2 linked regions of the Elephas maximus indicus genome follow. Each later gene encodes a partner of the first gene's protein in a complex. Links are inferred from orthologs where the notes say so. Each region holds a gene or a part of one and is shown in the gene's direction. Other genes may lie near its edges. The genes, in order: NR5A2 and NR0B2.

What was found.
Region 2: the proteins of NR5A2 (region 1) and NR0B2 are in contact, whole or in part, in a crystal structure (PDB 1YUC), measured with the Homo sapiens proteins. The link is inferred for Elephas maximus indicus from reciprocal best matches to the Homo sapiens genes NR5A2 and NR0B2. Residues at the interface, in NP_995582.1 of Homo sapiens: Phe354, Val357, Arg361, Phe366, Val371, Asp372, Gln374, Met375, Leu378, Gln379, Asn529, Asn530, Leu531, Glu534, Met535; in NP_068804.1 of Homo sapiens: Arg17, Pro18, Ala19, Ile20, Leu21, Tyr22, Leu24, Leu25, Ser26, Ser27, Ser28.

Annotation. Positions count from the first base shown.
Region 1 is NC_064836.1:8,247,242-8,251,145, forward strand, and holds the start of NR5A2 (nuclear receptor subfamily 5 group A member 2), read left to right. Parts: upstream 1-1,288; 5' UTR 1,289-1,494; coding exon of another isoform or gene 1,495-1,663; coding exon 1,664-1,745; intron 1,746-1,755; exon of another isoform or gene 1,756-2,035; intron 2,036-2,042; exon of another isoform or gene 2,043-3,904. Other genes in the region: zinc finger CCCH domain-containing protein 18-like, read right to left, coding at 929-1,288, 1,495-1,665. UniProt on the Homo sapiens protein: Orphan nuclear receptor that binds DNA as a monomer to the 5'-TCAAGGCCA-3' sequence and controls expression of target genes: regulates key biological processes, such as early embryonic development, cholesterol and bile acid synthesis pathways, as well as liver and pancreas morphogenesis.
Region 2 is NC_064821.1:67,348,101-67,351,802, reverse strand, and holds NR0B2 (nuclear receptor subfamily 0 group B member 2), read left to right. Parts: upstream 1-875; 5' UTR 876-902; coding exon 903-1,443; intron 1,444-2,442; coding exon 2,443-2,684; 3' UTR 2,685-2,992; downstream 2,993-3,702. UniProt on the Homo sapiens protein: Transcriptional regulator that acts as a negative regulator of receptor-dependent signaling pathways. Specifically inhibits transactivation of the nuclear receptor with which it interacts.

The DNA of each region.
Region 1 (3,904 bases):
GCATGCAGTCAGGAGGCTGGAAAGAATGTTTTCATCTTGTTGGGATGAGATCTGAAAACTCTGAAGATGTGGCTGGGCTGGTGGCCGAAGAGTTTGCATAACAGATGGTCTTTAAAACTTTTTTTTTTTTTTTTTTTAATGCTGGGCCTCTGGGCCTCACGTGGATCCCCACCAAAGAGACTGTATCCTATACAGAGCACAGTTCACTAAACCTGGGACGTCTGATACCACAATAATCTTGGGCTCCAGTTTGTAAGTTTATACGTGAGAGAAAACTGGGGGAGTGAGGAAACAGGTAGTTATCTCTGTCAAATGATGAACTCTTGACTCAGGGCCTTAAGACAGGGTTGTCCCCTCGGGCGGCCTGGGCGGTCGGTCCCTCCAGGACTACCAGGTCCCGCCGCGGGGCCTCTCCGACGACTGAAAGCAGAGGGGCAATGAAGCCCGGGGACCCTTGACAGAGGATCAGCTCTGCGTTTGAGAAGAGCGGTCCACAAAAATTCAAAATCCATTTCCTCCTTTCTGTTGTTTAAATGGGCGTTTATTTCCCTCTCCAGCCCCTCACCGACACACACACGGGGACACCCACACACGCCCCGTCACTTCTCCTCGCTTCCCCTCAGCTCGCGGAAATCACCGCCCTAGCTGCTCAGCCTTCGCCGCCGCAATCAGACAGAGGTCGCTTCTCACTAGCTGTACGCCCCAGCAGCATTTACACCCCCCGCCCCCAGACCACGGCGTGGTGGGAGGGGGTTAAGGCGGGTGAAGAGGTTGGGGCAGGAGAGGGGACCCGAGCATGCGCCTCATCCTCATTGGCTGGCGGCTGGTGTCCGACCGGAGTCCAGAACCCACGTCCCAGTTCAGTGTTTTCACCCCACATCTCGCCCACCCCCCACTGCAGCCTCCCCCTGCCCCCGGCCCTACTTACCTCCCTTCTCCTGCTCGTCTTCCCCCTTTCCTTCCCAGCACCATCACCATCAGGGGCTGGAAAGGGCTGCTCTCGGACGGCGCAAGAAGAGTAAACGCGGCAGGAGAGGGAGGCTGGAACTTCACAACTCCACACTTGCCATAGCGAGCGAGAGGAAGACAGAAAGGGACAGGGGGAAGGGGCGGAGAGGCCAGGAGAGGAGAGAGAGGAGAAGTGAAGAGAGAGGAAGAGAGAGAGAGACCCCTGCTGATCCTGAGCCAGAGGGCGGGTGGAGGGAGGGGAAGGAGTCGCCCGAGCTGTCCGGGAGCTGCGGCAGCGGCACCGGCCGCAGCGGTAGCAGCAGCCCCGCGGCTGCCTCCGCTGCCCGCCGGGAGCTCAGCCGCACACGGGTCCGCGCCCCGGGCAGCTGCGCCCTCGCTGCGGCCACCACCGCCTCCGCACTTGCAGAGCCGAGCCAGGGCACCCACACGCCGTCTTCTTCACCTGGTCTCGGAGCCCCGATCTCCTCCTTGCGGCTCGGGGGCAGTTCCGGAGCTGCAAGACAGGACCGGGCCTGTGGTCCTGACGGACAGCCTGGGAGGAGGCGGAGGAGCGCACGGCAAGCGGGTAGGTGAGCGGGCGCCCCGGTCGCCCCCTTCCTTCTTTCCGCCGGAGTTGAATCTCTGCTGCCCGTGTCCAGGTGCTGGGCTTCCGGACGGACACGGACCCCCTATTCCCGCCCGCGGCCGCCTTGTCATGCTGCCCAAAGTGGAGACGGAAGCCCTGGGACTGGCTCGATCGCATGGGGAACAGGGACAGATGCCGGAAAACATGCAAGGTAAGGAGGCTCCACGCAGCGCTCCGGCTCCCGGCGCTTCCCCTCCCCCGGGCTCGCCTTGTGGGCTTCAACCTCCCTCCAGGCGCATGGCCCATCTGGGTGCTCGGTGGACTGCTGGGCGGCGCGCAGACGTCAGGCCCCCTCCCCAGATGCGGGCATAAAAGTTCATGGCTTTTGAACAATGCGGAGCGGAGGTTTTCCAAGCAATGCCTAATTAGCCGCTTCTAATAATCAAGAAAAAGAGAGGCTTCGAACTCTGGCAACCGGAGATGGGCAGCTTCAGGCTAAAGGTACTTTGGAATAATGAGATCATGCTAAGAAATGGAATGTCAGGTTCTCGGTCCTTGGAATCGGTGGAAACTTTAACCAATGCTTTTGTGCGGAGGGAGAGCACCCTGCCTAGGACAGTCAACTAAAGAAAGAGAAGGGAAGGGGACCCCCAGGAGGCTTGTTTTAGAATGGACCTGGCCACTCCCAAAAAGCCCGAGTGGACACCGGTGCGAATTGGGGCAACTTTAAAATTACAGGCAGAGCTGAAAGGAACCAAAGTCCCCTTCACGGGGATTGCCCACTGACTTGGAGGTGGGGCGCAACGGTTAGCTTAATGCCCCTTCTTCAATCCAAGAGCTGAGATATGGAAATCCCATTTGCTTTGCAGCTCTTGATTGCTAACAAGAAAACAAATAAATCCCTCTGGCTGCATTTTCACTCCAATCCAAATAGGAACTCCTGTCTGGCTTGTATTAAGCCCTTCAAAAGTTTATCGCAGTTGCCCTGGGCCAGGGAGGGAACAATGCTAGGAAAAGTCACCGGCGCTCTTCCATCCTCGCCCCTTCCAGCACGCAGGATGTGCGGGCAGGCGGGCCTGTGATCCCGGAACGCTTCCTGCCATCCCCTTGCGCGAACTTGAAAGGGCCGGGAGGTGTTGAGAGCAGAGTTCAGGGCTGGTGCACGCGGCGGTGCCGGGTAGGCGGCGCGTTTCGGGCGCTTGGGCCTGGGGGCCTGACGTCGCCCTGGCAAAGGGAATGATGGGAGGGGGCGCGTCGTGATCCCCGGGTCTCTCTAAACACCGTAGAGAGTCGTGGAAGTCTCCGTGGGCTGAGCCCAGGAAACTAACTTCTGTGTCTCCCGGCAGGCTCCTGGGGGAAGCCGGTTGGCCCAAAGAGGCTTTCCTGCTTGAAATCTTGGTCCGCAAGGTGGGAGCGCGGGGAAGTGGCGCGAGGAAGCCGGGCCGGGGTCCCTCCGCCACGCGCCCTGGAGAGGGTCTAATCCTTTGGGTGGCTGGGTGCGGTCGGAACGGAAATTTTCTGCTTCTCGTTCCGGCGCGGACTCTGGAAAAGCAGCTCAGGGAGACACTAGAGCAAGAAGTAGGGGAGGCAGAAATAAGTTTATTTGAGGGGGTAGGGAGGATACAATCGTAACATTTTCTTTGTGAAGTTCAAAACGGGCGCTCTTGACCCGACCTGCGCCTCAGAGCAGAGCCTTAGCTTTTCCCAGTGACCAGGGCGGAGGAGTCGCCGGCCGCTCTCAGCCCCGGGTTCCAACACAGCGCATGGAGAGCTTGGACACACCTTCCTCCTGGACTAGCGGCCTCCCCGTAGGGAGGAGGCCCCGGGGAGTGGGACCCCATTCCTAACCCTCAGAGCCTGACTGTGGCCTGGGGACGCGTCCGTGGTCCTACCGGTGGGCGCGCATCCTAGAAAGAGAGCTGGATACTGGGTCCCGCGACAGCGCGCAGCGTCCTACTTAAGGGGAACTTCTCTGCGCGCCGCTCTGCGGTTCTCGTTTTCCAATGCCCCGCCGCCTCTTCTCTTCTCTCAAGACCAAGACTAGGGAAAGCGCGGGTACTTCTTTGCCTCGACGGATTTAGTTCTCCAAATGCCTAACTTGGCTACACGAGGGCACTTGGAAACCCTGAAAGATATCCCTGCCTCGCACAGAGGCATGTTTCCCCTCTCGGCCTCTGTTTTTGGATTTTCCAAGAGGGTTCCCATCCCTAGCCCCGACCTTTCTAATGCCGGATCGCCGGGGTGTGCGTTGAGCCCCTCTGTTAGCAGTTGCCTCTCTAGGCCGCTTAGGTGCGAAGTCAGAGTTCATTTTGTTGGGGGTCAGGAGAAGTAGAAAAGAACACCCTTGGTAAAGCCCACTTATTTTCCATC
Region 2 (3,702 bases), on another chromosome or scaffold:
AGAGAGAGATAAAAGGTAGTGTAGGCCACGCCCCAGGGAAACTCCCTTTACAGTGGATCAGGGAGGTGACCTGAGTAAGGGTGGTGTTACAATTCTGCCCTAATCCTCTTAACATCAAATTACAACCACAAAATGGAGGACAACCACACAATACTGGGAATCATGGCCTGACCAAGTTGACACAAATTTTTTGGGGGACACAATTCAATCCATGACAGGCCCCCAGAGCTGGAGTCAGGGAAGGGGCCTCTAGATAGTGGGCACAGTCCTCCAGCCTCCCAGGGTCCTGGCTCCCTCCCCCACTGCCTGTTACTTACCAACAACAGGCTCAGGGCCCCAAGGTTAGACAAACAAGCCAGCGATAAGGCATTTCCAGGTTGGGCTTGCGTTCAAGGCTTGCGCAGCTCTGGGCTGGCTGCCTGGCTTAGTGAGAGCCCTGGTCTTGCGTGCACACAAGAGCAGGGCACCAGTAGGGACACCTGCCATGGTCACCTGCTGATTGCGCACCTGAGGCCTTGGTGCCCTGGTACAGCCTGGGTTAATGACCCTGTTTATCCGCTTGAGTCGCCTGATAAGGGGCAGTGGGGTCAGCTGGCAGGCGGCCTTGTGCCCTGCACCGGCCCTTTCATTGACAGAAGTGATATCAGTGCCACATGGAGCACCCACTGTGCCCCTCCCCTGCCACTTCCCTGTCAGTCCTGCCAGGGTCAGTGTGTGTGTGTGTGTGTGTGTGTGTGTGTGTGTGTGTGTGTGTGTGTGTGTGTGTGTTTTTCAATGAACATGACTCCAGGAGTCAAGGTTGTCTGGGCATTCCCCCCTCCCGCCCTCGGGGATATAAATAGCACCCACAGCTCAGAGCAGAGGGCGGGAGAGCTAGGAAGAAGGAGAAACAGATCCCAACCATGAGCTCCAGCCAGCCAGCGGCCTGCCCATGCCAGGGTGCTGCCGGCCGCCCAGCCATCCTGCATGCACTCCTGAGCCCTAGCCTCAGGGCCAGGCCCTTCGTCCCCCCAACTCATAGCCGCTGCCTGTGCCAGCAGCACAAGCCTGTCCGCCTGTGTACTCCCCACCGTACCTGCCAAGAGGCCTTGGATGTTCTGGGCAAGACGGTGGCCTTCCTTAAGAACCTGCCATCCTTCTGCCAGCTGCCCCCCCAGGATCAGCGGCGGCTGCTGCGGGACTGCTGGGGTCCACTCTTCCTGCTTGGGCTGGCCCAAGACACTGTGACCTTCGAGGTGGCCGAGGTCCCAGTGGCCAGCATACTCAAGAAGATCCTGCTGGAGGAGCCTGGTAGCAGTGGCAGCAGCAGTCAGCTTCCTGACAGGCCCCAGCCCTCCCTGGCTGCAGTACAGTGGCTTCAGTGCTGCCTGGAGTCCTTCTGGAGCCTGGAGCTGGGCCCCAAAGAGTATGCCTACCTGAAAAAGACCATCCTCTTCAACCCTGGTGAGCCTCCGGACACTCTTGGAGGGATGGGTCAAGGCTTGGGGTAGGGGGAGGTGGATAAGGCTCATCCAGGGAAGGCACCTTCTAAGGGCTTGACATCCTTTATCTCATTGGGTCCATATTATCATTAAATACTCATCTCAGTGAAGAGGCCCACAGAGGCTAGGTGACTTGTTGAAGGTCATGCAGCCAGGTAGGGGCAAGACAGGGATCAGGAACTCAGGTCTATTCGCTCCAGAGACTGGCCCTTGTTACTCTGTACCCAAAATGTTTCCCTACCCTTAGGGAAGGCAGGAATGGGGTGAGAACGGGCAGATGCAGCTGTGTTTCGATCCCATCTCCAGGGGCAGACCGTGTAGTAAGCTTCTCTGAAGGTAGAACTCCGTGGGTTCAGAAAAACCACATAGAAGGGAGGAACAAAGGGCGTGTTCGGGAGAGGGAGGGAGTCTTAGTGACACTCACCAGGACAGCACCAGTTGGAGATACAAGCAAAAAGTTGGAGATAGGGCTCTTTTAATCTGGAGAGCATCTGAGATGAGAGTTCCCCACCAAAGGGCCTCACAGAATGCTTACTTACAGTAATTCATTATAATAATAGTAGTGAATGCTCATATTATACTTACTGTATGTTAGGCCCTATTCTAGGGGTTTTACATACACTAGCTCATTTAAACCTCAAAATAAGCCTATGAACTAGGTACTATTACTTCCATTTTACAGATAGGGAAAACTGAGGCACAGAGATGAGGTAACTTGCTTAAGGTCACATAGCTTATAATTGACAGCACTGGGATTCAAACCCAAGCAGCTCTTAACCATTACTTTATACTGCCCCTCTATACATAGATGGATGAATAAAGTGAGCAACGAATAGGAGGAGGTCATGACTGGGCCTCAAAGGCTGAGCAAAGGAGGCAGAGAGGTGTCTGCTGGCAGCCTTGCCCTTTGATGGCTGGGAGTGGGGTGCTCACCAGTCCTTTTCACCCTGTCTGCCCACAGATGTGCCAGGCCTCCTCGCCCCCTCCCACATTGGGTACCTACAGCAGGAGGCTCACCAGGCGCTGTGTGAGGTCCTGGAGGCCTGGTGGCCAATAGGCCAAGGCCGATTGGCCCGGATCCTCCTCATGGCCTCCACCCTCAAGTCCATCCCACCTGGCCTGCTTGGGGACCTCTTTTTTCGCCCTGTCATTGGAGACGTCGACATGGCTGGCCTTCTAGAGGACATGCTTTTGCTGAGCTGACTTGCTCCGGCCCAGGCAGAGATCAGGTGTAGGCTGGGCAGAGGTTAGCAGCACTGACTCAGCCTGGCTGACCCCAGGAGTCACCCAGTGCTTCTGAAGGGGGCAAGCCTATATAGACAGCAAGCCACGCCTAGTCTAGCCAGATGGGCTATGGGACCTTCACTCAGCTCCACCCTGCCTTGGCTTCTTTGGTTTGGACACAGTGCTCCAGCTGTCTGGCTAGCCCTTGGTGGTCCCCAGGGCCTCTGGCCCAAGACTACTCTCCTGTCTGGGATGAGAATGGACACTTAGGCTGCTCGTTGGGCCAAAAGTCTACTGCCTTGTACAGAACTCACTTAAGTTATTGGTTTTTGTAATAAAAGGTATGACACCCTCAGAGTCTGATACTGTAGTTTGTGCGTGTGGAAGGGACCATCTCACCTCCAGGGTCCATCCTGCCCCTTTCAGAGGGAGTCCGGGGGGAAGGAGCCATAACAGGTACAGGAGCTGGGCCTTGGGGAATTGAGGTATTAATTTTTCAGGATGGCTTGATGATTTCATTTTCTGGGAAGATTTATTTTGCATCTGGGTCTGAACTCAGGGGACAGGATTAGTTCAAAACCCCCGTACCTCCTTGGTTTTATCCTTGGAGCAGGGGCTTCTCCCCCATCCCCAAACCCCCACTGACTCCTTCTCTGGTCCTTACCCCCTACAGGTTCCCACTCCCCTCACTAAGAGTCTGATCATAGCCAATCAGGCAAATGAAGCAGCCCATTCCCAAGTTGAAACAGACAAGGCCTCTGGAACTGCTATAGTAGAATAATTCACTTTCCCCATTCCTGCAGTTAATGAACGAGAGTGGTTCATGCTCCCCCAATGGGAGGAGGTAAGCCTTGTACCTGCTTGGAAGACAAGATAGACAGAGATTTAGCTGGTCCACAGTGGTATAGTCATGTTGTTGTTGTTAGGTGCTGTCGAGTTGGTTCTGACTCATAGTGACCAGGCCCCATCCCCCCTCACCACCACAGTTTGGATTCTT